Macaca mulatta: one gene and its partners. The protein of the gene in region 4 interacts with the protein of the main gene of each other region in a pairwise test. Links are inferred from orthologs where the notes say so. Each region holds a gene or a part of one and is shown on either strand. Other genes may lie near its edges. The genes, in order: SNX20, PHYH, GOPC, FAM9B, GSTK1, PRPF3 and FERD3L.

Region 1 (3,611 bases), on a different chromosome or scaffold from region 4:
TTTTCCTTGTTTCGACTTTTCTAGTATGTTACTTTTTCTTTGTGCCATGTGATACTGGTTTTCCATTTAAGGTATTTCTCTTTGAAATAAATGTACTTTGTGTTTTTAAAAAGTGATCCAATTTAAAGAAAAAATAAGTAGTAATAATTATAATGGATACAGGGATATGGCAAAATTGGTGAAGAAAGGACACAGGTGACCGACACCCGATAAGATGGGATTAAACTGGGCTATTTCCTTCTTGGGACCAAGAAGCATGACTTCCATGGTTCGAATCCTCACAGACCCTAGCAGGTGCTGAGCCTGAAGTGTGCTGACCCATTTCATAGTTGGGAAACCTGAGGCCCCACAAGACTTATTCAGGGCCGGGAAGGAAGCAGAGTGAGAGAGGCTCCACCATTTCCCGATCTCTGCTTACCACAAACTTAGAGACTTTTCTCTCCTCGATGCGAGCTGAGGCGATCTCAAAGAGCAGTTTGACGTGCTTCCAGCGGCATTTCTCGTTCTGCCAGTACTGCTGGAGCTCCCGCGTGGTCATGCTGGAGTTGGAGCTCAGGCCACTATGCATGTCTGGAAGGACAACACCCTTAAGGATCTGCACCCTCTCAGTGCACTTTTGAGGCATGGCTTGGGGAGATGGCTGGGTCTATCTGAGATGGGATATCAGAACTCCTAAAGAGTACTGAATATCCCTCTCTCCCACTCCGCCATTGATAGGCCCAATTGGGGCATCAGACAGACCTCTGTGCCCAGCCTGGCAGAATCCACCCTACCACTGACAATCTCAAATAGCCCATCACCCCCAAGTGGTTTCTTAGCTGTGGAATGTGGTGTGGGCATTTTGCATCGTCCACTTCTGGTCTGCAGATTGGCCATGGTGAAATCCCCGCTCTGGACAAGCAGAGACTGACTTGTGTGTTTCTGTGCTCCCTGCAGCCCTGACTTTGTGACTGTCGCCAGGACTCCTTGAGCACACATCAGTGGGCAGGGGAGGCAGCAATAAGGATGTTATGTTCCAGCGTCAGCGGGCTGGCCCTTCCTAACCTTCTCATCTAACTGCTCACATGCTAGGCTCTTCTTGGACGTGCACTCCTCTGCCTGGCATCCAACCCTCTATTTCCATGCCTGGAAAACGAACACAGTGTTTCTTAAACCCCACTTGAGCCCTGCGCCCCTCTGAGCTTCTTGAGAAGCGCAAATAATTGTGCATTTTATCGCAAAGGGCATGGTTCCCAGCCCTTTTCCAGTCTACCCTTCAAGACCAAGCCCCCACATCACTGCACATGCCCCTTGGCATTAGAGTAAGAGCCTCCCACCTTGTTCCTATACTTTTTCATTTTATTTATTTGTTTTGCATGGCACATCTATTTTTCACTGATCTGTTTCTCTACCAAACCTCAGGACTAGTGCAGTGTTTGATTTGTTCCTGTTTCTGTTTCCCCAGTGCCCTGCATAGGGCCAGGAACAGAGCAGGTATTGAGTAGAGGACATCTTGAAGGATTGTAAGAAAAGATTTGTTCCAGGAGATGGCACTACAGCAGATGCTGTCCATGCCCCAGGCTGGACCATGCCCTCTTGGCACCTACTTTTCCAGAACATGCCACTGGCTTCCCTGAGGGCTTTCTAGGGCCATAGCAGCAGGCCCAGGAGCGTCCCTTCTCCTCTGCAGGGCAGGACTGGTAGATAACAGCCCGGCTTCCTCACCCCAGGATAGCACAACCCAGAGATATATTCCAAGGTCTCCCAGAAGACCCCCGCTAGGGTTGAGCCTCAGCCACTTATCATGCCTATCTGTTCACTGATGTCCTGCCCTGGCCTCTTGCCCTTTTCTGCCATTCCCATTCCCCTGCCGTGACTCCTAGGACCATCTCCCAGATAAACAGCTTGCACCAAATCTGTGTCTCAGTGTCTGCTTTGGGATAACCCAAGTTACAAGAGCTGCCCGGGCCTCTTGCTATATCCGCCAAAGTGACCCACATTTGTACTTTGAATGCCTTCAGACCTCTCCCCCAGACCGAGTCTCAAGCCTCAAGCCCACCTAAATGCCTGTCAGGTCCTGGGTGTGGGAGGTCAGGGCCAGCGGCTGGTGCTTCCTGCTGGGTCCTTGCTGTGCACTGTGTTATGGGTCCCTTCCAGCCAGGGCTCCCAGGGTGCTCTGGACTTGCCATGCTCCAAGCCTGCCAGAGGAACAAGAGAACAGTGAGTACCCACTCCAGTTGGGGTTCCCGGTGTCTCCTGGGGTGCCTAGGAGCTGTGTCATGCCCCCTCCTGGGAGTCAGAGGGAATGACAATGGCCCCACGGCTCAACCTTCCCCACTCTCCCGGCTGCCAGATCCCAGACCTGGGTCTGCCCCTTTGCTGGGCAGGTTACTCCAAGGCAGAGAAGACCCTTCACCTATTGTGATGATCCATGTATAATTGAGGTGATCCTTACATATTGCTCAGAGTTTTAAATGAGATGATTTCTTTTTTTTTTTTTTTTTTTTGAGACGGAGTCTTGCTCTGTGGCCCAGGCTAGAGTGCAGTGGCCGGATCTCAGCTCACTGCAAGCTCCGCCTCCCGGGTTCACGCCATTCTCCTGCCTCAGCCTCCCGAGTAGCTGGGACTACAGGCGCCCGCCACCTCGCCCGGCTAGTTTTTTTTTTGTATTTTTTAGTAGAGACGGGGTTTCACCGTGTCAGCCAGGATGGTCTCGATCTCCTGACCTCGTGATCCGCCCGTCTCGGCCTCCCAAAGTGCTGGGATTACAGGCTTGAGCCACCGCGCCCGGCCTTAAATGAGATGATTTCAAGCAAAAGTATTGGCTTTAGTGATTACTCGAGCGAAAGATGCTGGCTTGTGCAGACACTCACTTTTATGTTACACATGCGAATGAAGTCTCAGTGTTCAAGCTGAACACGGTGGCTCATGCCTGTAATCCCAGCACTTTGGGAGGCTGAGTTAGGAGGATCACTTGAGCCCAGGAATTTGAGACCAGCCTGGGCAATGTAGTGAGACCCCGTCTCTAGAAAAAATTAACAAAAATTGTCCAGGATGCATGCCTGTGGCCCCAGCTACTTGGGAGGCTGAGACAGGAGGATCCCTTAAACCCAAGAGACTGGGGCTGCAGTGAGCTACGATGACGCCACTGCACTCCAGTCTGGATGACAGAACAAGACCATCTCAAAAAGAAAAAAAGAAAGCTCAGTGTTCAGAGCAGGTAGATACTGGTATGAATCTTCTATCGATCAATCAATCAATTATCTATCTATCAGCAAAATTAACTGATAGCTTATACCCACTTCATACCCACCTAGGTTCTTCACAGCCCCTAATCTAGTTTAATGCTCACAAAAGTCTATCATTACCACCACATAACAGATGAGAAAACTGAGGTCTAGCCCAAAGTCATGCAGCTGGTGAGTGTGCGCAACAAGCAAAGCTGAGTTTGTCTCCAGTGCTTGTGACGTGCTGGCAGTGCGCTTGACACCCAACACACACTCTCACGCTAACCTGACCACTGTCTGCACTCAGGACTGTTTGCTGCTCCCTTTTATGATAAGGGAACTGAGACTTAGCGTTGCCGAAGGTAAAGAGCTGGTGAGTGGTGGGCAGGATACAGACCCAGGCTG
Region 2 (4,947 bases), on a different chromosome or scaffold from region 4:
GTCAGGAGATCGAGACCACAGTGAAACCCCTTCTCTACTAAAAATACAAAAAATTAGCCGGGCGTGGTGGTGGGCGCCTGTAGTCCCAGCTACTCAGGAGGCTGAGGCAGGAGAATGGCGGGAAGCAGGGAGGTGGAGCTTGCAGTGAGCCAAGATCGCACCACTGCACTCCAGCCTGGGTGACAGAGCGAGACTCTGTCTCAAAGAAAAAAAAAAAAAATTCCTTCTATTTCTCTGATGTTTCTGTAATGAATACATATGATTTTTCAGATGAGAAACAAATTCAATAAATTTTATATTTTTAACTGTCCAGTTGATGCACTCCAAGAAGTAAAGTAACAAAATCCAAATAAATGTACAGCATACCCATAAACTGAAATCACCCAACCTATTCCTTAAGATTGGAATTGTGGTTGTATGAGAATATTTAGGAAGGTCAAGATCTTCCCGTTTAAAGGTGATTTAAGATAAACCAAAGATGCTAGTTAATATGTCCATATAACCAAATTACAAGCTTAGCTTTTTTTTTTTTTTTGAGATGGAGTCTGGCTCTGTCACCTAGCCTGGAGTGTAGTGGTGTGATAGCAGCTCACTGCAACCTTGACCCCCCAGGTTCAAGCAATTCCCCCGCTTCAGCCTCCTGAGTAGCTGGGATTATAGGTGCACACCACCATGCCCAGCTAATTTTTGTATTTTTGTAGAGGTGGGGTTTCATGATGTTGTCCAGGCTGGTCTCGAACTCCTGACCTCAAGTGATCCACCCGCATTGGCTTCCCAAAGTGCTGGGATTACAGGCATGAGCCACCGTGCCCGGCCACAAGTTAATTTAAATATGATGTGTAATAACTGAATTTCTAAAAGTCAGATTATAAGGCTGGTGTGATGGCTCAGGCCTGTAATCCCAGCATTTTAGGAGGCCAAGGCAGGAGGATTGCTTTAGCCCAGGAGTTCAAGACCAACCTGGGCAACATAGGAAGGGCCCATCTCTATTAAAAATAAATAAATGTCAGATTATGTATTTTCTGGTATTTTTCCTTCTTTCTGAATCTTAAAATACATACAGAAAATTAGTCGGTCTTCAAAATTTTCCACAATTGTACTAATTAGAATAAATCCTGGAAACAGAGGATTTGTATAATAAAATTCTAATCAGGTAACATGTGGTATATTATATCATTACCACTCACGAAACTTTTGTATACATAATAGATTTCAAAATTAAAACTTAAACTACTTACTGGAATTGTTGAGGATGGAAACTGGCAGAGGCAATAGTCCCTGTAGTGGGATGAGCTACCTAGGATGTGAATTAAGGCAAATAAAGTAAAATACAGAAGGCCAGGTGCGGTGGCTCATGCCTGTAATTCCAGCACTTTGGGAGGCTGAGGCAGGCTGATCACTTGAGCTCAGGAGTTGCAGACCAGCCTGGCCAACATGGTGAAACCCCATCTCTACTAAAAACACAAATTAGGCCGAAAGCGCTGGCTCACGTTTGTAATCCTAGCACTTTGGGAGGACGAGGCGGGTGGATCACCTGAGGTCAGGAGTTTGAGACCAGCCTGACCAATATGCTGAAACCCCATCTCTACTAAAAATACAAAAATTAGCCAGGGGTGGTGGCGTTCATCTATAATCCCAGCTACTCGGGAGGCTAAGACAGGAGAATCGCTTGAACTTGGGAGGCGGAGGTTGCAGTGAGCCGAGATCGCACCACTGCACTCCAGCCTGGACGACAGAGAGAGACTCCATTCCAGGGGAAAAAAAAAAAAAATACTACTAGTACTACTACTAATAAGAATACAAATTACACTCGGGAGGCTGAGGCAGGGGAATAGCTTGAATCCCGGAGGCGGAGGTTGCAGTGGGCCGACATCGCGGCACTGCACTGCAGCCTGGCCACAGAGCAAGACTCTGTCTCAAAATAAAAACAATAATAACAATAATAATACAAATTCGCCTGGCATCGTGGCGCAACCCTGTAGTCCCAGCTACTTGGGAGGCTGAGGTAGGAGGATCTCTTGAGTCCAAGAGTGAGCCGAGATCGCACCACTACTGCACTCCAGCCTGGGTGACAGAGAGAGTCCCTGTTTCAAAAAAAAAACCCACAAAAGCAAAACTCTAGAAATTCCTTTTAAGGATCTCTTTTCTATCCGGTAACTGCAGGCAGTTGACATAGAATTGCATTGTTTCTTTAGCTTAATTGGTTACTTTCGGAATGTCACTCTCATCAGTCAACATGTTGTCTTTTCTTTCTCTCTGTTTCTCTCTTTTGGAGCGCACTGGCCTTCACGGCTCACTGTAACCTTGGAGTCCTGGCCTTGGCCTCCAGAAGAGCTGGGACAAATAGGCAAGGCGTGTGCCCCCGCGCCAGTCCTCACCCTCTGTCCTTCCCTAAATAGTGTCTTTATATAACTCGGTGGCAAGGCCGTAGTCCAGCAGGGAGGCCGTCCTGGGCAACGCCTGCCTGGCCAGCTCCTGCCCGGGAGGGCACCGTCCTGTACCCTCCCGTGGGAGCCGGGTCACCGCCTGCCTGGGCCCCTTCCAGGCAACCCTGCGCGCCTGTGCACCATGCGCCTGTGACTGGACATCTCTGGGTGTCTGGACAGCCGCAGGAGTCACACGCAGCCGGTGAAACGACATCTCCACAAAACAAGGAGCAGAGGCCCCCAGGGATCCCGGAGAGCAGCGCGACGCGGCAAGTGCCCCGAGCCCAGGGCGGCCGCGCGTGTCCTCGGGGGACGCAGCCTCCTCCCCGCTCCCCGGCTCCGGGAAGAGACGCGACCCAGGCGGGGACCCGGCGCGGAGCGAGGAGGCGCCGGGGCTGGGATGCGCGCGACGCCGAGGCCTCCACTCGGACCCGGGCCACCACTCAGGCTGCGGCGCCGGCGCCCGGTCCAGCCCGACACCCGCGCAGCTCAAAGGATACGACGGCCCCGGCCGAGGGGCGGCCGAGGTGGCCCAGTACGATCTGCAGGCGGGCGGCGGCGCGGGGCTGCTCCATGGCGGCGGCACGGGGACCCCCCCACTCAAGGTCTCGGCCCCATTTAGCTCCGCGGGCGGCTCCGCCTCCAGGCGCGGTCCGGGGCAAGACGCGGGCGGGATTAGGGGCGGCGCCATCTCGCGGGCCGGGCTGCTGGGGCGCCCTAGTCCGCTAGGGTCCGCGCGCCGGGCAACCGCGCGGAGCTGACGTGCTCCCCACACCATGATCCTTTCGTCCTTTCTTTTCTTTCTTTCTTTTTAAAAAGAGACAAGATTTTGCTCTGTCGCCCAGGCTGGTATGCAGTGCCCGATCATAGCTCACTGCAGCTTTGAACTCTTGGGCTAATTATAATTTTTTGTAGAGATGGGGTCTCCCTACGTTGCCCAGGTGGGTCTCAAACTCCTCCCCGCCTCCCGCCTCGACCTCCCAAAGTGCTGGGACTACAGGCGTGAGTCATCGCCCCTGCCCCGCACCCTGTTTCTATTCCATCACCAGGACCCTCACTGCCTCCCGGAGGCTCGGGGACCCAGTGACCAGGCCGAGGTCACTCCGTGACAAGTGGCTGGGCCAGGACCTCACTCACGCTCCTAACGTCATGGCTTCCATCTATTTCACCCCACGTGACTGCTCCTTCCATTGACAGCTGAAAGAATAAAATCTTCGATTTAAACAAAAAGTTTGCCAGGCACGGTGGCTCGCGCCTGTAATCCTAGCACTTTGGGAGGCCAAGGCGGGCGGATCACAGGGTCAGGAGTTCAAGACCAGCCTGGCCAACTTGGTGAAACCCTGTCTCTACTAAAGATACAAAAATTAGCTGGGTGTTGTGGCGCACGCCTGTAATCCCAGCTGCTGGGGAGGCTGAAGCAAGAGAATCGCTTGCAACCGGGAGGTGGAGAATGCAGTAAGCCAAGATCGCACCACTGCATTCCAGCCTAGGACGGGGCAAGACTCCGCCTCTAAAACAAACAAACAAACAAACAAACAAACAAACAGGTTTTTAACCAGATGCGGTGGCTCACGCCCGTAACCCCAACGCTTTGGGAGGCCGAGGCGGGAGGATCACTTGAGCACAGGATTGCTAGAGATCAAGACCAACCTAGGTAACATAGTGAGAACACCTGATCTACAAAAAATTAGCCAGGCCTGGTGGCAGGCACCCGTAGTCCCAGCTACTCGGGAGGCTGAGGCAGGAGAATGGTGTGAACCCGGGAGGCGGAGCTTGCAGTGAGCCGAGATCCAGCCATTGCACTCCAGCCTGGGTGACAGAGCAAGACTCAGTCTCAAAAAAAAAAGAAAAAAAAAAAAAAAAATTCCAGACATTGTGTGAGGAAGCATTGCAAAACTTTCTGTTAGCTGTTGCATGTAGCCCCCAGTCACCTTCCCCACGCTTGCTCGATCTATCACGACCCTTTCATGTAGACCCCTTAGAGTTGTAAGCCCTTCAAAGGGCCAAAAATTTCTTTGTCAGGGAGCTTGGTTTTTTGAGACTCAAGTCTGCCGAAGCTCCCAGCCTAATAAAGGCTCTTCCTTCTTTAACCCCGTGTCTGAGGAGTTTTGTCTATGGCACGTCCTGTGACAGGAGGATCACCTGAGCCCAGATCGTACCTCTGCACTCCAGCCTGGCCAACAGAGTGAGGCCCTGTCCAAAAAACACAAAAACAAAAAACAAACAAAACTCCAAAACAGCAACAATGAAGTTTTGAAAATAAAAATAAAAAAATAAAAATGCTAAGATTCATCCCTAAAAGTCATATATGCCATTCAAAAGGGGTATTTCATTTAGTGGGACTCCAGCCCATAATATTATAAACAGTTCGGTAGGTCATTAAAAAAAAAAAAATGAATAAAATAAATGACCTCCAGAAAAGTCTGATGCAGACAGCCCAGTAGGGTGTAAATTTCTTAGAGAACTGGAGCACCTCTTTGTAAGATTTCTTTTCTATTCCGTAACTATGGATATTGACATA
Region 3 (3,976 bases), on a different chromosome or scaffold from region 4:
ATTCAATATATTTGTAAATATATGAATTCACAATTTTGATTTTCTGAAATGTCACGTGTGGGAACGCCGTACGTTTTCAAATGTGCCAAATAACAAGGCTTCAGCCATGAATGGATCACATAAACTATGGTGATCCTATAAGAGTATATGCCATGTTTTTACTGTACCTTTTCTATGTTTAGGTAAGTTTAAATACACAAATAGTTACCACTGTATTGTAATTGCCTACCGTATTCAGAATGGCAACATGCTGTACAGGTTTACAGCCTAAGAGCAATAGGCTACATCATACAGCCTGGGTGTGTAGTAGGCTATACTATCTAGGTTTGTGTTTAAATACACTCTAGGATGTTCCCTAGGGGATGATTAACCTAAGGACACATTCCTAAGAACATATCCCCATCTTAAGTGAAGCACTACTGTAGTTGCTTTTGAAATGTGTGACCTATGGCGTATTAAGAGGAATACCGTGTGCCAAGAAGTGACGCTAAGAGTTTATCTTACAACTGAGTTAAGTAAAATTTGGAAACTTGGTTTCGAGGTTAACTAAGACATGTAAGGTGACACAGGTAGTATGTGACAGAGGGTAAGAACTGAACGTTCACCAGGTCTACCTGACCCTTAATCACAATACAAAAAGTTTTCTATTAATTCCGCAAAATCTGGTCAGCCGCTTCAATGCGTAGCGTTACGCAGTCCACACCTGGAATTTGGGGTTGGTTTACCAAGAACAGCCAGGGTGTACGCCCACTCCATCCTAACCAGGAACTGGAATCCAAAAGGTAAAACGTGGCTATTGCGCATGCTCACACCGCCCTTCCTTGCTCTCCCCTCCCTGACCCCAGACGCCACCGCAGCAACTTTCTGGGAGGACTTTGGAATAGCTCCCGCCAACTGTTAAGTCAAACCGGCGGAAATCCTTCCTTTCTGCGACGTGGACACCTTTCTCATCCTCGGGCCTTTCCAACCAGGATGCAGAAACCACGCGGCTCCGTTTCTCAGGGATTCAAGCCGTAGTTTGCCAGTTGTTAATATGGCGGCTAACAGGCAGGTCCCAAGCTGAGGCCTTTCATAGGCCAAGGTCGCATCCTGGCCCCGCCCATTTTGTCCCTCCAGGCTGCGTCCGCCCAGCTCTTCGCTACGCATGCGCAGCGGGGGCAAGCTGGGAGGTGGGACAGACAGAATCTTCCGTGTGTCGCCGCCGCTGCCGCCTCAGCCTCAGCCTCGTTACTCCTGCGGTTCTGTGGCTGTGTTGCTGGCGTTAACGGCGCGAGGTGAAGCGAGGTGACGGAAGGTGCGCGCGCGCGCGCGGGGGGTCCCCTCAGTCCCAGCAGTTCCCTTCGTGCGGGTGGGGCGGAGAGGGTCTTCAGCAGTCGGGAGAGGCCCTTGACGGCGCCATGTCGGCGGGCGGTCCATGCCCAGCAGCAGCCGGAGGGGGCCCAGGGGGCGCCTCCTGCTCCGCCGGGGCCCCCGGCGGGGTATCCATGTTCCGGTGGCTGGAGGTGCTGGAGAAGGAGTTCGACAAGGCTTTTGTGGATGTGGATCTGCTCCTGGGCGAGATCGATCCAGACCAGGCGGATATCACTTATGAGGGGCGACAGAAGATGACCAGCCTGAGCTCCTGCTTTGCACAGCTTTGCCACAAAGCCCAGTCTGTGTCTCAAATCAACCACAAGCTGGAGGTGAGCCGTGGGCGCTGGCGGCTATGGCATCCAACCCCGGGCTGCCCGGTGGCGTCAGATCCCATTTAACGCTCCAGTGAAACGACCCTAGAAAACTGCCCACCGGGGCTTCCAAATGTGATGGGAGAGTGCATGTCTGTGTGTGCGAAGGAGAGGAGTGAGGTGAGGGTGGGGGACAAAAAGGGCCCTAGACCGACACGTGAGTCTCCCCGGGGTACTGTCGTCCACCTTCCTAGTATCTCTCTGAGGCGGAAACTAATTACATACACTAGCCCCCCTTTTACGTGTTACATTAACAAACCTAACAAAGATTCTCTGTCATGAAAATACCGTAGGCCACCTTTTGACAATTGAGTTTTGCAGATCTACTTTCACATTGATAAACCGAATTTGTATATGTTCAGACAGATACAGCCCTGATTATTTTCATTTTAAATATTTCAGGTCAGCGCCTATTACTGCATACAGAGACATGCATAAACTATTTAGGGGAATCTGATCAAAGCTCTTAGGAAAATTTCGTGGTGCATAACGATAGTATCATTGTCTCGGTTTACATCCATAGTTGGTCCTTAAATTACAGGCAGATACCTCCAGAGAGCTTCCTGCAATTATTGAAATTACTTCTGACATTGAGTTTTTATATGCTTGTACATTACTGTGTAATTTTCCAAAGTCTAGATTTATTTTTGAGAGAGTATAAAGCATCATTTGCTTTAATCTCTGATGCTGGGTGTGGGTGAGGGTGGAGTGGCTGTGATTCAAAAAAAACAAAAAACTATCACGTTGTGCAGAAAATTTAAAAAGGGCATTATTACAATATTTATAAATCAAGATAGATTAACATTATTGCATAAAGAGTATTTTCTAACTAGGCAATTTAAGAGAATGGGTCTTTCTTTTCAAAAAGTATAATAGATAAAAATGGGATAATCAGTGATGTGCAAAACTCTTCGAACATTAGCTTTCCTAAGAAATCATTACTCGTTGTCATTGAGAGTGCCCATTGTATCTATATCAATATGAATGTCAGATAAACATCCTCTCCTTGCCTAGTGGTCAGCATTCTTTTTCTCCTATTAGCCATGAAGTATGTGGCATAATTAATCCTTGATTAACATAGATGTACATATCCAAGAATTGTGGCTCTTCTCCACTGCAAGAACTGTTAATTTCTTCTATCCTTTTTGAAAAGATTAGAAAGTGCTAATATGGCCGGGCGCGGTGGCTCAAGCCTGTAATCCCAGCACTTTGGGAGGCCGAGGCGGGCGGATCACGAGGTCAGGAGATCGAGACCATCCTGGCTAACACGGTGAAACCCCGTCTCTACTAAAAATACAAAAAACTAGCCGGGCGCGGTGGCGGGCGCCTGTAGTCCCAGCTACTCGGGAGGCTGAGGCAGGAGAATGGCGTAAACCCGGGAGGCGGAACTTGCAGTGAGCTGAGATCCGGCCACTATACTCCAGCCTGGGTGACAGAGCAAGACTCCATCTCAAAAAAAAAAAAAAAAAAAAAAAAGTGCTAATATGAAGGTAATCACTTCTTACTGTAGGTAAATGAAAACATCTCTTGATTTCTTTATTAGTATTAATTTTCACAAGAAAGCTATTTTTCTGATTTCATTCTGATAGTGAAATTACATTTAATGTTTTATAGAAATAGTACTTTAACTTTATTTCATTTTATTTTATCTTACTGTATTTAAAAAAAAAAGAGATGGAGTGCTTTGTTGCCCAGGTTGGTCTTGAATTCCTGGCCTCAAGTGATCACCCTCCTGCCTCGGCCTCCCAAAGTGCTTTGATTACAGACATGAGCCGCTGTGCCCGGTCATTAGTTCTCTAGCTTTAAACAACAACGATCAAAAGTAGCTTTTGCCACATGATATAATTTGAATGTGTCCCCCAAATTTCGTGTATGGGAAACTTAATCCCCAATGTGACAGTACTGAATCTCCAATATGGGGCCTTTAACAGGAGAGTGGATTATGAGTACTCAGTTCTTATGAATGGATTAATCCACTCATAGATTGATTTGTTATTGGATTAATGGATGAATGAGTTATCATAGGAGTGTAAAAGTGGTGGCTTATAAGAAGAGGAAGAGAGACCTGAGTAAGCATGTTAGCATGCTCAGCCCCCTTGCCATGTGACACCCTATGCTGCCTCCATACTCTGCACAGATCCCCTGCCAGCAAGAAGGCTCTCGACTTCTCGAGATCTGGCCCCTCGACCTTGGACTTCTCTGTCTCCATAACTGTAAGAAATAAATTCCTTTTATTTATAAATTACCTAGTT
Region 4 (4,790 bases):
AATTACTATAGGATGTGATAAGGGTTCGTTGGTTGAAAGTGAAAGAAAATGCTCACTCTACTTCCAAGAGAGCAATTTAAGATACTATGCCTGTGTCCAAGACAATACATTTGTATTTGGTCTCTCCTGGACAGACAGAGTTCAAACTCCCATATCACTCTTCATTTTCATTGGTTGTTTTACTTTTATTTTCTACGGTTTTGGGTTTAGGCATGTTGATGCTGTGTTAAGCACAAAATGATTTCTGTCAGATTGTCAGAGTAGATCATGCCCTTCTCTTGTTCTGTATACTCTGCCTTTAGTTTATTCATTTATTTTTTGCATTATTTTACATTTGCGAGCTATCAATTCCCAGATCCATATTTTCCTTTTCTTCATATTTGTCTGACATGTATTTTTTGTATCATTTTGTTTTAGCTCCATTCTTACATACAGCATATACTTAGATTTTTATTTTGATCCAAGTTGGAAGTCATTTCCTTTAGATTCTGAGTTTATCTCATTCATATTTCTTGCTCAACAGATTCACTTGGCCTTAATTTTGTTCCTTTATGTTATGGTCTCTGGAGTATTTTCTTTATTTTTCAATTTTTACTACAGGATTTGTGTTCTTTGTGTGTGCTCTTTTTGGTTATATAGACATTTAAGGCTGTGGATTAGTTTTCCTGATGACTGCCTTTATAATTTCTTTTCTTTTCTTTTTTTTTGAGGTGGAGTCTCGCTCTGTCGCCAGGGTTTCACCGTGTTAGTCAGGATGGTCTCGATCTCCTGACCTTGTGATCTGCCCGTCTCAGCCTCCCAAAGTGCTGGGATATAATTTCAATAATATAATGAAACTCTATATCTTGATTTACAAACTTTAGGCAATATTTATTTACTCCTAACTCCAAAACAACTCTCCCCCTATTATAGGCGACTGGAGGTGGGAAAAAGCTGAGTTAACGATAAGTATTAAGGCATTAATTTGTGGGTGAAGGTTGTGGCATATGTCTGCATAAGTCTGGAGCATGAGGGTTTGTGGGCAAGTCTGGGGCATGAGGATGAGAAAGAAAAGTAGTGAGGAAACAAAAATGGTTATGGGCAGGGCACGGTGGCTCATGCCTGTAATCCTAGCACTTTGGGAGGCCAAGGCGTGCAGATCAACTGAGGTCAGGAGTCCGACACCAGCCTGGACAACATGGTGAAACCTCGTCTCTACTAAAAAAAAAAAAAAAAAAAATTAGCAGGGCTTGGTGTTGGGCTCCTGTAATTCCAGCTCCTTGGGAGGCTGAGGCAGGAGAATCACTTGAACCCGGGAAGCCGAGGTTGCAGTGAGCTGAGATCACCCTGCTGCACTCCAGCCTAGGCGATAGAGTGAGACACAGTCTCAAAAACAAACAAAAACGATAAAAGCACAATCCATTGATTGAAAAGGATGCAGCTGGGCATGTTGGAAGCACACAGGGCATGGGAGGGAGCCTGGGCCCAACCCATAGGATGATGGCCATTCTAGCCAAAGGGGCAGGGGTGGCTGGAAAGAGCCCCAGGGCGAGGTTCTAGGCCCTGTCCACTTGGCCTCCATACCAAGTCCTGTGTCCCTCCCCAGGAGCAGAAGCTGAAAGAATGTGGGAACAGAGGCCCCAAAGGGCCAACCCCACCTCAGTCCACAGCAACCACTTGCTGTCACTTAGGGGAAGGGGGAGGGCGTGCCAGCAGGGGGCGTGGCCCCACACGGCCTGTCACACGCATGTGCACTGAGTCGACCAATCTGCGAGGAGCGTAGGAAGTGCTGTCGGCAGCTCTCACGAGAACTGAGTACTTGTTTTCTTTTTTGTTTTTTGTTTTTTGTTTTTTGTTTTTTGAGACAGTCTGGCTCTTGCCGCCCAGGCTGCAGTGCAGCCGCGCGATCTGGGCTCACTGCAACTTCCGCCTCCCGGGGTCAAGCAATCATCCTGCCTCAGCCTCCTGAGAGGACCCGTTTTCTAAGAGATCCTAGTGGTGCTGTTGTCTGCAGGTTCTTTGAGGGCGCCACATCAGGGGTCCCTCAGGTGAAGCGCTCGCGGTGGGGAGGCGGAAACGCAGGCACGAGGCCCTCTGGGAACCAGGGTGTGAAGCGCTGGGCCGCCCGCTGACCTGTGAGGAAATGCCCCTGGCGTGGTCGCCTGGGGCCTGGGTCAGGGCGAGGCCCTGAGGGTGGGCTGGGGTGGGCCAGGGCAGGGAGGGAGCTGGAGCCGCCTGGGTGATCCCTAGGGCCCAGGAGGGCTTGTGCATGTGTTGGGGGGAGGTGCGGAAGGTGGGGGGAAGTGGGGGTGGGGCGAGGGTGTTGTTGGGGACAGTCTGAGTGGGGCCCTCCTGCCCGGCCTCCCGTCAGGACAGGACACTTGGGGTCATCAGGGGTCCCCTGTGCATCCAGGCGGGTGAGTGACAGTGCAGCCCCTGACATTCCTCTGGAGGTGGCTGGGGAGATCCTGTGTCACCCGGTGGCCCTCCCAGCCACACGGGGTCGCTGGGGGACCCAGAGGTAGGGCTGAGTTCTGTCCCAAAGGTGCGGCGAGGATCCCGCAGACGCCGTGGAGTTCAGGTGTGAGGGGCAGCTGTGAGCTCTGCAGCCAGCCCCGGGGACGGGCTGGACGGGCTGGACGGGCCAGGACAGGAGGGGACACTGGCATCTTTTCGGTCCCCTCCTGCTCCCACAGGAGACCCAGGGCGTGCCAGCCCCACCCTTCTTGAACCTGTGATCCCAATGGCTTTCCTTTCCGATGCCAGGGTTCCTTTGCTTCCTTAGTGTGCCTTTGCCCTCATCAGGTTCAGGGATCACCTGTAGCTTCCCAGGACAGCCAGCCACGGATCCTGTGGGCAGGAGGGCTGCCAAGGCCCAGTTGGAGGCTCAATTTATGGCGGCCCAGGGGAAGGAGCGTGCAGGTAAATACAGCCCAAGGTGACCCGGAAGAAAGTGCACGCCCAAGAGGACGGTCTGTCTGCTTTCTGCGCTGGGGGCACAGGGGTAGCCCAAGGACCCGGGCCCCTTCGTGGCTTTGGAGTCCATCGTGCACGTGCTAAGATGCCCCAGGTTTTCAAAGCAGGCTCAAGGGCCTTAGGCTTCCCGTGAAAGGCTCCCCTCATAGCGGGGTTACAGATGCTCCCAGAGCAGCTCTTCTCCATGAGTGCAGTCATGACATCCAAGGGGTCTGACGTGTAGTATGTTGTTTACTGGGACTTGAACCCGAAGGGCTTCCAAAAGTGCCTTGATAAAATGGTCAGAAGCCGGTGATTCCATGTACAGCTCTGCTTTAAAGCCTTAATTGGCAGATAGCCAAAAAAAAAAAAAAAAAAAAAGTCTACAACAAGTACATTTCTCCACAAAAAAAGTCCACAACAGTGTCTTCCTCTAAAAAAGGTTTGTCTTTTAAATTTTAATGCAGGAAAGGATCCAGTCAGTGACGAATGTGAGGAAAGAAACCCTTTTACAGAAACAAGGGAGGAAGATGTAACTGATGAGCATGGGGAAAGAGAACCTTTTGCTGAAAAAGACGAGCACACGGGGTAAAGTGTTTAAGTCACTTTTGCCTGTGGGATAGGGTCTTTTAGGAAAAGTCACCTTTGGACCATGTCATCACTGTTCTATTCTGTGCAGAACATTTCACATAAGACATTTCTTTTCCCAACAAACATGGCATTTTGTGTAGTATTATGCTAAAATTTTGATGTAACTTTTTTTACAGGGCTAATACCAAGAAGCCAGAAGATACTGCAGGTATATTTTAGGAGTTATCTGTCGTTTATGAAAATTGTTTTCAATCATGCAACTGTTGCAGTAAGTTATATGAATCAGTGGATGACAAGACTGTCTTAAATGGCTTATCATATGTAGCATTTAACATACGTATTTAATGTAATCTGTTTGATAAATTTTTCTTACCTCTTTGATTGTTGATGTGGAATGTGAGAATGCTTCTAATAATGGTGAAGCGAGATGGATGGCTTTTCTTTCATACACGTGGAAATTTAATTGTTTGGAGAATATTAGAGGACATTGGAGGAGAAACAGCTCTATTCGTTCCTTTTAGTGTACGCAGATTAAGTCATATATCAGGTTTTTTTTAAGCTTTCACTTTAAGTTTGGGGGTACATGTGCAGGTGTGTTATATAGATAAATTGCATGTCACAGGGTTTTGGTATACAGATTATTTTGTCACCCAGGTTATAAGCATAGTACCTGATGGGTGGTTTTTGATCCTCACCCTCCTCCTACCCTCCACTCTCAAGTAGGCCCAGTTGTCTGTTGGTCCCTTCTTCCTGTCCATATGTACTCAGAGTTTTTAATATGAGTTTTTCATGTTCTTAATTTAGCTATTCTATTGTCACAGCTTTCTGATTTTGTTTTATTTGAAGTACAAGAGAAAATTGAATTCTCTAAAATCATTTTCCATTATTATTCCAGTAATAAACTGTGTAGTACAAAAGGACAACTTTTCTATCTAGTGAGAAACATGTAATTGGATCCAAAAACTCATAAACTTTATATTGCTGTGTGAAATATTAGTTGCACTGTTATAGGGACCATATTTTCAAAAAAGTTTGAGAAAATTTCTGTAAAGATGATGGAGACAATACTCTTACTTTTGAAAAGCTCAATTCAGTTTTCAGCTTTTCGATAGCGATGATTCATACAAGCAGTATATTTGGAAAGCTTTGCTCTGCTTGGTGACAAAAAGTGCTGGTTTTGTGAGCTGCCTAATACATTGGGCGTTATAGATGGAGACTGTATGTAAAAAATATTTGCATTATGGTACAAATCTTTTATGATTGCT
Region 5 (3,877 bases), on a different chromosome or scaffold from region 4:
AAGGGGTTTTACCATGTTGCCCAGGCTGGTCTTAAACTCCTGAGCTCAAGAGAGCTGTCTGCCTCCACCTCCCAAAGTGCTGTGTTTACAGGAATGAGCCACTGTGCCTGGACTCCATGCAGTTTTTAACTCTTTGAAAGTATAGTTCTTTGTTTCTATAGAGGTTCTATTGAGTGGACTTATTTTTGTTTTACTTAACCATTTTTCTGTAAACATTTTGTGTGGTACATAATTCTCTAATTTAACCAAGTCAAAGACAGTGTCTCATTAGGACAGGCTACATGAATTCCTGGGTCGCACTTCTGATCTAGGAAGTCAAGATGCAGTGGTTCTCAATCTTGGCTGTGAATTAAAATCGCCTGGAGTACCTTGGAGCTAACCCTTTCCCCCTGGAATTGTGATGTAATTGTTCTTGTTCTTTTTTTCTTTTTTGAGACAATGTCCTGCTTTGTCACCCAGGCTGGAGTGCAGTGGCATGATCATGGCTCACTGCAGACTCAACCTCTTGGGCTCAAGTGATCTCCCATCTCAGCCTTATGAGTAGCTGGGACTTCAAGCATGTGCCACCATGCCTAATTTTTTTTTAAATTTTTTTGTAGAGATGGGGGTTTCACTGTGTTGCCCAGGCTGGTCTCAAACTCCTGAGCTGAAGCAGTCTCCTGCCTCAGTCTCCCAAAGTGCTGGAATTACAGGCATAAGCCACAGTGCTTGGCTCTAGTTCTAAAGGATGACCTCACGTGGAGATTTTTTAAAGCTCCTCAGGAGTTTCAAATGGGCAGCCAAGGTTAAGAACCACCTATCCCAAACTATACCCAAACCACAAACTGAAGCCTTTGTCTTTGTCTTGAAGCCAGGTAGGTGGCTCCAGCCATGTGCCTTGTTACAAGGTCCTCAGGAAGTTCCACTGGAATTAGAGCCTAGCTCTTGATTCGAAAAAAGCATGAGATACTCAGGAACTCTGAGAAGTAGGAAGAAAAGAGCCCTGGACTTGAATTCTAGAGACCTCAATATTAGTGTTGGCTCTGCTACCAACATGCTCTGTAACTCTGAGCAAGTAATGTATCACCTCTGGATTCAGGCTCTTCATTTGTGAAATAAAGAGGTCTATCTAGCTGGTCTCTAAGATGTCCCCTGGTGTTAATTTCTGTGATTGACTCTGTGCCATCTACCTTTTCCACCCATCTCAAGATTTGGGAGAAAGGAAATAGTTCCTCTTGGCAAGGACAGATCTCCACTTGTGGGTGGGTAAGGGCATTGCCAGGAAAACTTGGGGGCAGAAAATAAAAAGACCAGAGTTTTCCTCTGAGATCCCCATCCAATATCATGCAGCCACAGTTGTATTCCCTACTATATTCCCTTAGGCTGCAGAGAAGGCTGGCATGTCTGCAGAACAAGCCCAGGGGCTTCTGGAAAAGATCTCAACGCCAAAGGTGAAGAACCAGCTGAAGGAGACCACTGAGGCAGCCTGCAGATACGGGGTGAGCAGCTCTTTATGTGTGTTCCCAGCCTCCATCCTGAAGATGGAGACTTGAGAATCTCTAGGTGTGAGTCCCCATGCTTCTGTGCAAAAGCTCGCTTTCCAAGTGTTCTCCTCAATGCTCTTAGACAACCCTCATCTTTTCCCTTCTTTTCCTTGGGCTCAGGGAAAGGAAAGGAAGGAGATGGATAGTGAGAGAAAAGACAGCATCTTAGAAACAGGAAGGCACCTGGGGCCATGGAGCCTCTTACACCTCTTTCCTTCTGTGAACTCAGAAAAGTACTGACTCGAAGCCTTCAACCCCCACCTAATACCTGCTCCTTTGCCTTCCTCCTTGCACTGTAACTGCTTTCTCCAGGCCTTTGGGCTGCCCATCACCGTGGCCCATGTGGATGGCCAAACCCACATGATATTTGGCTCTGACCGGATGGAGCTGCTGGCGTTCCTGCTGGGTAAGTTAAAGATTCAACACTGAGCCGGGTGCAGTGGCTCACGCCTGTAATCCCAGCACTTTGGGAGGCTGAGGCAGGCGGAGCATGAGGTCAGGAGATTGAGACCATCCTGGCCAACATGGTGAAACCTTATCTCTACTAAAAATACAAAAATTAGCCGGACGTGGTGGTGCACGCCTGTAGTCCCAGCTACTCGGGAGGCTGAGGCAGGAAAATCACTTGAACCTGGGAGGTGGAGGTTGCAGTGAGCCAAGATCATGCCACTGCACTCCGGCCTGGGTGACAAAGCAAGACTGTCTCAAAAAATAAAAAGATTCAACACTGAACTGCCTTTAACCCCAGCTCCACCCCCACTATATCAGTTGACTGGAAGGAGGGGCTCAGAGCAAAAAATATTCTTGGTACTTCCAGTAGCAAAGCCTTATGCAGTCCGTGCTGTTCAACGTTGAATGGGCAGGGGCTGTCTTCATCGCCATTAAAAGAGAAGGAAGCCTTCTGTACCTTGAAGCCAAGCAAGGGTCTTATTAGAAAACCCCTGGGACCTTGTGGGACCAACTCCTGCTGCCAGCACACCTGAGAACGGTGTGCAGAGTCTGTTATTTCCTTCATCCAGGAGAGAAGTGGATGGGCCCTGTGCCTCCAGCTGTGAATGCCAGACTTTAAGATTGCCCGGAGGAAGCAAACTCTTCGTATAAAAACAGCAGGCCATCTGCTGAACCCCAGCTCCACCATAAGGCACTGGGACTTGGATTTCTCTATCTGATAGAGGTATTTTCTGTGGCCCTGGGAGCTGTCTATCTTTCCCCTACCCCCAAGGACACCAGGAAGGGGTCCACCATTAGTCATGTGGCAACCTTTACTTCTATGCCTCACAAGTGCCTTTCAGAGAGTCCCCACTCTGCTTTCCCACAAAATAAACCTAATGCCCTCAGGCAAAATGTTTCTGTGTCTGTATCTGCCCTGGTGTATTCTCATTCCTGGGGTCACATCCTGCCTCCTCTAGGGATAGGTGAAGGAGAGCTCTTTTGGTACTTCCAGCCAGATCAGCCATCCAGCCCTCCTTGGGGCTGTGGAAGAAGTGAGAATAGTCCCCCATTCTCTCACACAGAAACTCCCCTGGTCTATCAGCAACAGAAAACCAAGCCAGATGGACTTTGCAACTAACCAGTTTGGGATTTACTGTCTTCTGACCAGCCACAGTGACTGAGATGGGGCTGGGACCAGAAGCCCAGTGGGAGTGAACAGCAGAGGGAACCAGAGTCTGGCTGAGCTTGTGCCCAGATATTTAAACTGCATCCAGCCACACCTGCAGGACCAGGGCAAGGCAGTACTGGGAAACTGGCTGGAGTTGCTGGGGATTGGAGAAGTTGCACACCTTTTCATAGATAGCTCCCTTACCCCTCAGTGCAGATTCTGAGAAAACTCCAAGTATAACCCCTGTTCCCTACTACATACATGTAACTTTTCCATTCCCCCAGTAATTGATCCAAAGTCCCTGCCTCTAGCTGTGCCCATTGTGCAACTATCAGAATCCCTTGTTTCAATAGTATTTTGACTTCCTTGAGAATACTCTGTATTTGGAAGCTGAAACCTCACTTGGACCCATTGTTGGGAACCAAGTACAGAGCCTTACATAGACCAGAGGAGTTTCAGGAGTCATGCCACCTTCTCTTCTATCTCTCCCTCTGGGTCTGGCTCTTCCCATACTCCATTTTCCCCTTTTATCTCCCATTACTTTCTGTCTTCCTCTCTCACCTTTCCCATATCTGTAGCATCCTCCAGGATTTAAAATCAACTTTAGCCAGCTTATCTGTGACAAAAGAACATCTCCAGATTAAGTACTCCTTTTATTTCAAAGGAGTTTCATGTACAACTACTGTAAAATAAAAATATAGGAAGATGTCCAATCTTAAAAATCATAAGGACAAATTGAGACAAAACTAAGCTT
Region 6 (4,166 bases), on a different chromosome or scaffold from region 4:
TTGCAATGAGCTGTGATTATGGCACTGTACTTTAGCCTGGGCAACAGAGTGAGACCATGTCTCAAAAGAAAGATGGTATTACTCACTGATGAGATTGTTCCCTAGAATTATTTTATCATCTTTTTTTTTTTTTTTGAGACGGAGTCTCGCTCTGTCGCCCAGGCTGGAGTGCAGTGGCCTGATCTCAGCTCACTGCAAGCTCCGCCTCCTGGGTTCACACCATTCTCCTGCCTCAGCCTCCCGAGTAGCTGGGACTACAGGCGCCCGCCACCTCGCCCGGCTAGTTTTTTGTAGTTTTAGTAGAGACGGGGTTTCACTGTGTTCACCAGGATGGTCTCGATCTCCTGACCTCGTGATCCACCCGTCTCGGCCTCCCAAAGTGCTGGGATTACAGGCTTGAGCCACCGCACCCGGCCCGTCTTTTTTTTTTTTTTGAGAGGGAGTCTCACTCTGTTGCCCAGGCTGGAGTGCAGTGGCGTGATCTCGGCTCCCTGCAACCTCCACTTCTTGGGTTCAAGGAATTCTGCCTTAGCCTCCAAAGTAGCTGGGACTACAGGTGCCCATCTAAATTTTGTATTTTTTGTAGAGATGGGGTTGCACTATGTTGCCAAGGCTGGTCTCGAACTCCTGGGCTCAAGCGATCCACCTGCCTCAGCCTCCCAAAGTGCTGGGATTACAGTGTGAGCCACCACGCCCGTCCATCCAATAACTCTTATGGAGAAGGCACTGCACCCTCAACTTCTGGGCTCAAGTGACCCTTCTCAACCTCCTGAGTAGCTGGGACCAAAAGTATATGCCACCACACCCAGCTAATTTTAAATTTTTTGTTGAGATGGGATCGCCTTGTGTTGCCCAGATTGGTCTCTAACTCCTGGGCTCAAGTGATCCCTCTGCCTTGGCCTCCCAAAATGCTGTGGTTCTAGTCTTGAGCCACCACACCTGGCTTTATTTTGTTTGTTTTTTTGTTTGCCTTAATGTTCCATACAGGATTTATTTCTTTGCGGGCTATTTTTCAGGAAGGTGGAGTTAAAAGACCAAACGAAACCTACACCACTGATCCTGGATGAGCAAGGGCGCACTGTAGATGCAACAGGCAAGGAGATTGAGCTGACACACCGCATGCCTACTCTGAAAGCCAATATTCGTGCTGTGAAGAGGGAACAATTCAAGCAGCAACTAAAAGAAAAGCCATCAGAAGACATGGAATCCAATACCTTTTTTGACCCCCGAGTCTCCATTGCCCCTTCCCAGCGCCAGAGACGCACTTTTAAATTCCACGACAAGGGCAAATTTGAGAAGATTGCTCAGCGATTACGGACAAAGGTATCTGGCTTATAGTATAACACAGAATTTAGAAAAAGTTAAGAAGCTGAAAGGAAAACATTGTAAAATCTCTATGTTCTAGGAAATTAGATAAATAGGTCATTTAAAGCAGCAGTCCTCAACCTTTTTGGCATCAAGGACTCATTTCATGGAAGACAATTTTTCCCCTGGAGTAAGGATGGTTTTGTGATGGTTTAAGAACATTACCTTTATTGTGTACTTTATCATTATTATTATTTTTGAGATGGAGTTTTGCTCTTGTTGCCCAGGCTGGAGTGCAATGGCATGATCTCGGCTTACTGCAACCTCTGCCTCTCAGGTTCAAGTGATTCTCCTCGAGTAGCTGGAATTACAGGCATGCACAACCACGCCTGACTAATTGTGTATTTTTGGTAGAGATGGGATTTCTCCATGTTAGTCAGGCTGGTCTTGAACTCCTGACGTCAGGTGATCTGCCCACCTTGTCCTCCCAAAGTGCTGGGATTACAGGCGTGAGCCACCACACCCGCCTTTTTTTGGCAGGGGAGCGGGGACAGAGTCTTGCACTGTTACCTGGGCTGGAGTGCAGTGGTGCAATCTCAGCTCACTGCAGCCTCCACTTCCTGGGTTCAAGCCATTCTCCTGCTTCAGCCTCCTGAGTAGCTGGGACTACAGGCGTGCGCCACCATGCCTGACTAATTTTTTGTATTTTTAGTAGAGACAGGGTTTCACTGTGTTGGCCCGGCTGGTCTTAAACTCCTGACCTTGTAGTCTGCCTGCCTTGACCTCCCAAAGTGCTGGGATTACAGGCGTGAGCCACTGTGCTGACTTCTATTATTATTCTATTTTAATATATGATGAAATAATTATATAACTCACCATAGTCTAAAATCATTGGGAGCCTTGAGTTTGTTTTCCTGCCGAGACGGTCCCATCTGGGTGTGATAGGAGACAGTGACAGATCATCAGGCATTAGATTCTCATAAGGAATGTGCAACACAGCCCCCTGGCATGTGCAGTTCACAATAGGGTTCACTCTCCTATGAGAATCTAATGCCACCGCGGATCTGACAGGAGGTGGAGCTCAGACCATAATGCAGGTAATAGGGAGCAATTGTAAGTACAGATGAAACTTTGTTGGTTTGCCTCCTGCTCACCTCCTGCTGTACAGCCCAGTTCCTAAAAGGCCACAGACTGGTGGGTTGGGGACCCCTGATTTAAAGCAATGAATAATTTGAAAATATGCAGGACGAGGTGGCTCAAGCCTATAATCCCAGCGCTTTGGGAGGCCGAGGTGGGTGTATCACAAGGTCAGGTGTTCGAGACCAGCCTGCCCGACATGGTGAAACCCCATCTCTACTAAAAATACAAAAATTAGCCGAGCGTGGTGGCGGGCACCTGTAATCCTAACTACTTAGGAGGCTGAGGCAGGAGAATCACTTGCAATTGGAAGGTGGAGGTTGCAGTGAGCCGAGATCGCGCTACTACACTCCTGCCTGAGCGAAAGAGCGAAACTCCGTCTCAAAAAAAAAGTTTTAAACAGATTTTACTTCCTAATTAGTTTCTACATAAGTGGAAATACTCAATTGAGTTTGAAAATTCTCCACATACAACTAAGTGGAGGGAAACAATTTGAAACACTCTGACTGACTGAGGAAGACTTGCCTGGAGTTAAAATTTCCTGCAGAAAGTACACCTGGAGAGTTGAATTGATTGTATATTGAATGACCTTTGCCTTCTTTTTATCCTCTCAGTGAGGTTTTCATAAAATTCTATTTCTGTGTATTTACTGCAGGCATATACTGTGGAGTGAAGGGAGAGGGTGAAGGTGAGGATCTATGTAAATGAACTAAATAAAGGATAAAATAAAGCAGAACAACTCCTTTCTAAACTTTCAGAATGAATTTGTTGCATTAGGTGTAAAGAGTTCAAAGGGGAAATGTTTTAAAATTTGGGATTATTGGCCAGGCGTCATGACTCATGCCTATAATCCCAGCACTTTGGGAGGCCGAGGTGGGCGGATCACGAGGTCAGGAAATTGAGACCATCCTGGCTAACACGGTGAAACTCCTACTCTACTAAAAATACAAAATAATTAGCCAGGCGTGATGGCAGATGCCTGTAGTCCCAGCTACTCGGGAGGCTGAGGCAGGAGAATGGCGTGAACCTGGGAGGTGGAGCTTACAGTGAGCCAAGATGGCGCCACTGCACTCCAGCCTGTGTGACAGAACGAGACTCCGTCTCAAAAAAAAAAAAAAAAATTGGGAATCTGGCCCCGCACAGTGGCTCATGCCTGTAATCCCAGCACTTTGGGAGGCCGAGGCAGGCAGATCACCTGAGGTCGGGAGTTTGAGACCAGGCTGACCAACATGGAGAAACCCCATCTCTACTAAAAATACAAAATTAGCTGGAGTTGGGGGCGCATGCCTGTAATCCCAGCTACTCCAGAGGCTTAGGCAGGAGAATGGCTTGAACCTGGGAGGCAGAGGTTGCTGTTAGCCAAGACCATGCCATTGTACTCCAGCCTGGGCAACAGAACGAAACTCCATCTCAAAGAAAAAAAAAAAATTGAGATTCTACAAATTCTGTTTTCTATGATTCCAATTTATCTTTCTGTCTTGGATTATCTTGTTTTTAGGCTCAACTGGAGAAGCTACAGGCAGAGATTTCACAAGCAGCTCGAAAAACAGGCATCCATACTTCGACTAGGCTTGCCCTCATAGCTCCAAAGAAGGAGCTAAAGGAAGGAGATATTCCTGAAATTGAGTGGTGGGACTCTTACATAATTCCCAATGGCTTTGATCTGTGAGTTTGTTTTAGTACCTTTTTAAAAAAACAGTTTTTAATCAGCCGAGTTTAAGATT
Region 7 (3,300 bases), on a different chromosome or scaffold from region 4:
TGCTCCTAGAAAGATCCAGGCACCTTCACATACTCCAACCCCTGGCCGGGGGGACAGTTGGAAACGCTGACTGGTGGCGAAGCTGCAGGGCACCCAAGGCCCCCTGCGACCCAGGAGTGACCCAAGTGCACTCGCCCCTTACTCTGGCCTGCGGCCTGAAGGCACTGGAACAGGGAAGCTGACGCTGCACTTAAGATGCAAAGCGTAGATTTGCACTCTGGCTAAGGCACTGAATGAACACCACTGTGGCCCTGGGACAAGGAGCCATGGTCCCTCTGGAATCAACCAGGTGAAGAGGGAGAGGGAGAAAGGAAGAGAGAGGGCTCGCGCGCAGGAGAGAGGAAGGGAGGGGAGGGAGAGGAAATGGAAGACAGCAAGGGTGTTCCTTCTCAGAGGTCCCACTTTGTCAGCAGTTCCCCTCGACTGCTCTGCCTTCCATGTTTCCTTCCCTCAGTTCCTGGACAAGCATCGGAGGACCAGACAGAACCCTCTGGCTACCAGCAAAGCTCGCATCCCCGCACCCTCGCGGCGTCTGCTCCAGAGCCTCCTCGCAGGCGCCTGCTGGAGCGCCTGCTGGGGATGGCGCACCACCGACTCTTGAGGCTTTTTAAAAAGTAAGAATTTCTACTTTATTATCTCTATGAAAAAAAAAAAAAGTAAAGAGGAGAGGTTAGATTCTATAGAAGCTCCCAAGTTTGCCATTTGCGAGGAGGGTTCTCTTCCCACCCACCTAGCCCACGGAAGCTCTTAGGAGCAGCCTGGACGGCCCGGACTCATCCTCTCGCGCTCTGACATCCCCGCGCGCCCCTGACCCCGACTTCACTTAGGGCGGTCGCATAGATATGAACTCTACAACAGCCACTCTGCTCGGGGACTTTAGGGATCTTACAATCTCGAAACCGACCTCCAGAAGGCCAGACGTTCTGTCTTGGGGCGTCCCTCCTGGCCCTTTAGCCTCACCCAGTACCCGGTCCTGACACACCCCAGCACTACCAGACCAGGAAGGGCAGACTCTCCCCACCCGGTTCAGCCGCTTTCCTTCTTCTCACAGCTCTCCAAGAGCTCGGTCATGAAGGAGATGTAGACGATGGCCAGGCGGAGGGTCTCGATCCGGGACAGCCTTTTCTCGTAAGCAAACGTGGGCACCTTCCTCCGCAGCTGGTCAAAGGCCTCGTTGAGGTTGAACATTCGCTTCCTTTCGCGGATGTTGGCGGCCTGGCGCTGGGCGTAGGTGATCACCCTTTTCCTCTTGGGGCGGCCTAATAGGGAGACGCCTCTCCCGCGCTCCTCTTCCTCCTCCTCTTCTCCGTCCCCCTGGTCCACTTCGCACTCCTCTTCTTCTGGGTCCCCCTCTTCAAACCGCGCCATCCTCCTGGGTCTTCCTTCTCGGAGCGCAAGGGCTGGATCCCCAAAGGAGACCCCGGGTGCGAAGTCGCAGAGGAGAGGGCGTCCCGGGGAGGCCAGGGACAGGTCTGCGACGAAGTCCAGCACCGTAGCGTCCACGCAGCTCTCTGGATAGGCCGCCATCGCTTCGGCTTGGCCCTGCCTCTCATCGGTTTTCCGCAGGGAGGGGCGAGGCTGCTGGTGGAGATTCTTAACAGCCTTGAATCTGATGGGGCACCATCACCGAAGGGCCAGGGAACATTAAATATTTATAACCGAGCTGATAACAGGATTAGTCGCACCGATAAGAAATGCTCTGACAACGTCCCTTCTCTCGAAGCTTATGGAAGATGACAAGCTTGAGCACGCATGGAAGACTCAAAGGGACAGGCCTCCAGTTCTGAGATCCTTTTCTGTGCGCCACCCGGGACAGTTCCTTGTTGGCAACAACCCCCAGCTCTTACCTGCTGTGCTTTTTGTGTCTGTCTTCACCCCTGCAGCCAACTAATGTTCTCCGGGCTCCTTATCTCGTGTAGTTCTTTAATTTCGTGTTGGATTTTCAAAGCGAGGATGTTTTCCACGGCGATGGCTTCTCCTTGACTTCAGGATAGGAGTCTTGAATCTTGCCACCATCTGCCAATGGATGTGGAGCAAGTGCATGTGCTTTTAATGATGTCCTGAAGAGGGGCCCTGCCTGCCTGGGATCGAGGGGAGCTGTTTGTCTGGTATCCCAGTGCAGCGGCTGCTGAAAGGCAAGACCTTCCATTAGCTTAAGTAAGCATGGCAGGGGGGCCGAGAGTGCATTCCCCAGAGTCGCTGTTGGAACCGGCTTTCTTTTTCTTTCCAGGGCATCGCAAACAGCTCTCCTGCCACGTTACAAACCCTTGCTTCTAAAGTCTGTTTGGATGCAATCAGCCTAACAATTGAGATACTTGACTTTCCTTTCCCTACCTTTACCTCCTGCTCATATAAAATAGAGGATTTTATTCCAAGAGGAAACGTGATGACGGCAATAAAATGACAAATTTAAGCTCAGGACATTTTCTATGCTCGGGCTTTGCTGTATACCTTTCAGTGTGGGGGACAAAGCAAACTCTCCCCACAAACAAAACCACTTCAAGCTCTTTTCAGAAATGCGATTTGCCCTTGATAAGCCAAAGAGTCAATCAGTTCACCCTCTGCTGAGGAGTCTTCGGACTTTTAAATTGCGGATCGAGTATTTGTTCCTGAACAAAGAAAAAAACCTAACACTTCCATCTGGCTTATTTTCCTCATTGATTTGTATTGTCCTACAGTAAGATTTAAGAGCAGAAACAATGACTTATTGAATTATATTTAAAGGAGCTTTTTGATTATCGTTAGATCGTTGAGATAAGAAAGAGATTTTAAATTTGGCATAATAAAAATAAGAGTTTACTCATTTTATATTTTCTCTAGTATCCCTAATATTTTAACAAAAGGGTCCTTTTTCTTTGTTTGTCAATAACTATATTTACTTAATTATTCAGTAATGTGTAAAGATTTATTTAAAAGACCCATTGGGTCAAAATGACAGATTAGAAGATAATTTTAAAGGTAGATTAGAAGAAATAGCCTAAAAAGATGAATGTGGAAACATCTCGGTTCAAAAGAGAACCGCCCAGGACATCAGTCCGTATTAAGGGGTAAGTTGTGGCTAAGATGGTTCACTCAGTACATTGGACAGCTCCCAGAAACCAGAAACCTCCTGTTTCTAACAGGTAATCTCAATTCATTTTCTTCTTCATAGCCTCTCTCTGTGTAATCAGAAGAGTATAACCTTGAATTCTTCTTCTTTTAACCCATTTGTGTCTGGTGTCTCTGGATCTTCTAAGAGATTTTATCTTCTTTTGCTTGTGTTTACTGTTCATTCTCCAGTTTGCATTGTGATAACTCAGG

Evidence for each region.
Region 1: the proteins of FAM9B (region 4) and SNX20 interact in binary tests that used the Homo sapiens proteins (3 or more experiments, as listed by UniProt). The two-hybrid records come from large-scale screens. The link is inferred for Macaca mulatta from reciprocal best matches to the Homo sapiens genes FAM9B and SNX20.
Region 2: the proteins of FAM9B (region 4) and PHYH interact in binary tests that used the Homo sapiens proteins (3 or more experiments, as listed by UniProt). The two-hybrid records come from large-scale screens. The link is inferred for Macaca mulatta from reciprocal best matches to the Homo sapiens genes FAM9B and PHYH.
Region 3: the proteins of FAM9B (region 4) and GOPC interact in binary tests that used the Homo sapiens proteins (3 or more experiments, as listed by UniProt). The two-hybrid records come from large-scale screens. The link is inferred for Macaca mulatta from reciprocal best matches to the Homo sapiens genes FAM9B and GOPC.
Region 5: the proteins of FAM9B (region 4) and GSTK1 interact in binary tests that used the Homo sapiens proteins (3 or more experiments, as listed by UniProt). The two-hybrid records come from large-scale screens. The link is inferred for Macaca mulatta from reciprocal best matches to the Homo sapiens genes FAM9B and GSTK1.
Region 6: the proteins of FAM9B (region 4) and PRPF3 interact in binary tests that used the Homo sapiens proteins (3 or more experiments, as listed by UniProt). The two-hybrid records come from large-scale screens. The link is inferred for Macaca mulatta from reciprocal best matches to the Homo sapiens genes FAM9B and PRPF3.
Region 7: the proteins of FAM9B (region 4) and FERD3L interact in binary tests that used the Homo sapiens proteins (3 or more experiments, as listed by UniProt). The two-hybrid records come from large-scale screens. The link is inferred for Macaca mulatta from reciprocal best matches to the Homo sapiens genes FAM9B and FERD3L.

Annotation. Positions count from the first base shown.
Region 1 is NC_133425.1:46,127,777-46,131,387, forward strand, and holds part of SNX20 (sorting nexin-20), read right to left. Parts: intron 2,178-3,611; 5' UTR 2,169-2,177; coding exon 2,039-2,168; intron 571-2,038; coding exon 419-570; intron 1-418.
Region 2 is NC_133414.1:14,853,063-14,858,009, forward strand, and holds the start of PHYH (phytanoyl-CoA dioxygenase, peroxisomal), read right to left. Parts: upstream 3,002-4,947; coding exon 2,927-3,001; intron 1,298-2,926; coding exon 1,239-1,297; intron 1-1,238. UniProt on the Homo sapiens protein: Catalyzes the 2-hydroxylation of not only racemic phytanoyl-CoA and the isomers of 3-methylhexadecanoyl-CoA, but also a variety of other mono-branched 3-methylacyl-CoA esters (with a chain length of at least seven carbon atoms) and straight-chain acyl-CoA esters (with a chain length longer than four carbon atoms).
Region 3 is NC_133409.1:22,589,458-22,593,433, reverse strand, and holds the start of GOPC (Golgi-associated PDZ and coiled-coil motif-containing protein), read left to right. Parts: upstream 1-1,176; 5' UTR 1,177-1,397; coding exon 1,398-1,682; intron 1,683-3,976.
Region 4 is NC_133426.1:8,568,539-8,573,328, reverse strand, and holds the start of FAM9B (protein FAM9B), read left to right. Parts: upstream 1-1,760; 5' UTR 1,761-2,027; intron 2,028-2,784; 5' UTR 2,785-2,873; coding exon 2,874-2,901; intron 2,902-3,401; coding exon 3,402-3,522; intron 3,523-3,701; coding exon 3,702-3,733; intron 3,734-4,790. UniProt on the Homo sapiens protein: May play a role in meiosis.
Region 5 is NC_133408.1:183,294,068-183,297,944, forward strand, and holds the end of GSTK1 (glutathione S-transferase kappa 1), read left to right. Parts: intron 1-1,361; coding exon 1,362-1,478; intron 1,479-1,835; coding exon 1,836-1,929; intron 1,930-2,542; coding exon 2,543-2,592; 3' UTR 2,593-2,889; downstream 2,890-3,877. UniProt on the Homo sapiens protein: Glutathione S-transferase that catalyzes the conjugation of glutathione to exogenous and endogenous compounds. Significant glutathione conjugating activity is found only with the model substrate, 1-chloro-2,4-dinitrobenzene (CDNB).
Region 6 is NC_133406.1:116,799,063-116,803,228, reverse strand, and holds part of PRPF3 (U4/U6 small nuclear ribonucleoprotein Prp3), read left to right. Parts: intron 1-1,016; coding exon 1,017-1,323; intron 1,324-3,940; coding exon 3,941-4,107; intron 4,108-4,166. UniProt on the Homo sapiens protein: Plays a role in pre-mRNA splicing as component of the U4/U6-U5 tri-snRNP complex that is involved in spliceosome assembly, and as component of the precatalytic spliceosome (spliceosome B complex).
Region 7 is NC_133408.1:109,145,348-109,148,647, reverse strand, and holds FERD3L (fer3-like protein), read right to left. Parts: upstream 1,581-3,300; 5' UTR 1,528-1,580; coding exon 1,027-1,527; 3' UTR 947-1,026; downstream 1-946. UniProt on the Homo sapiens protein: Transcription factor that binds to the E-box and functions as inhibitor of transcription. DNA binding requires dimerization with an E protein. Inhibits transcription activation by ASCL1/MASH1 by sequestering E proteins.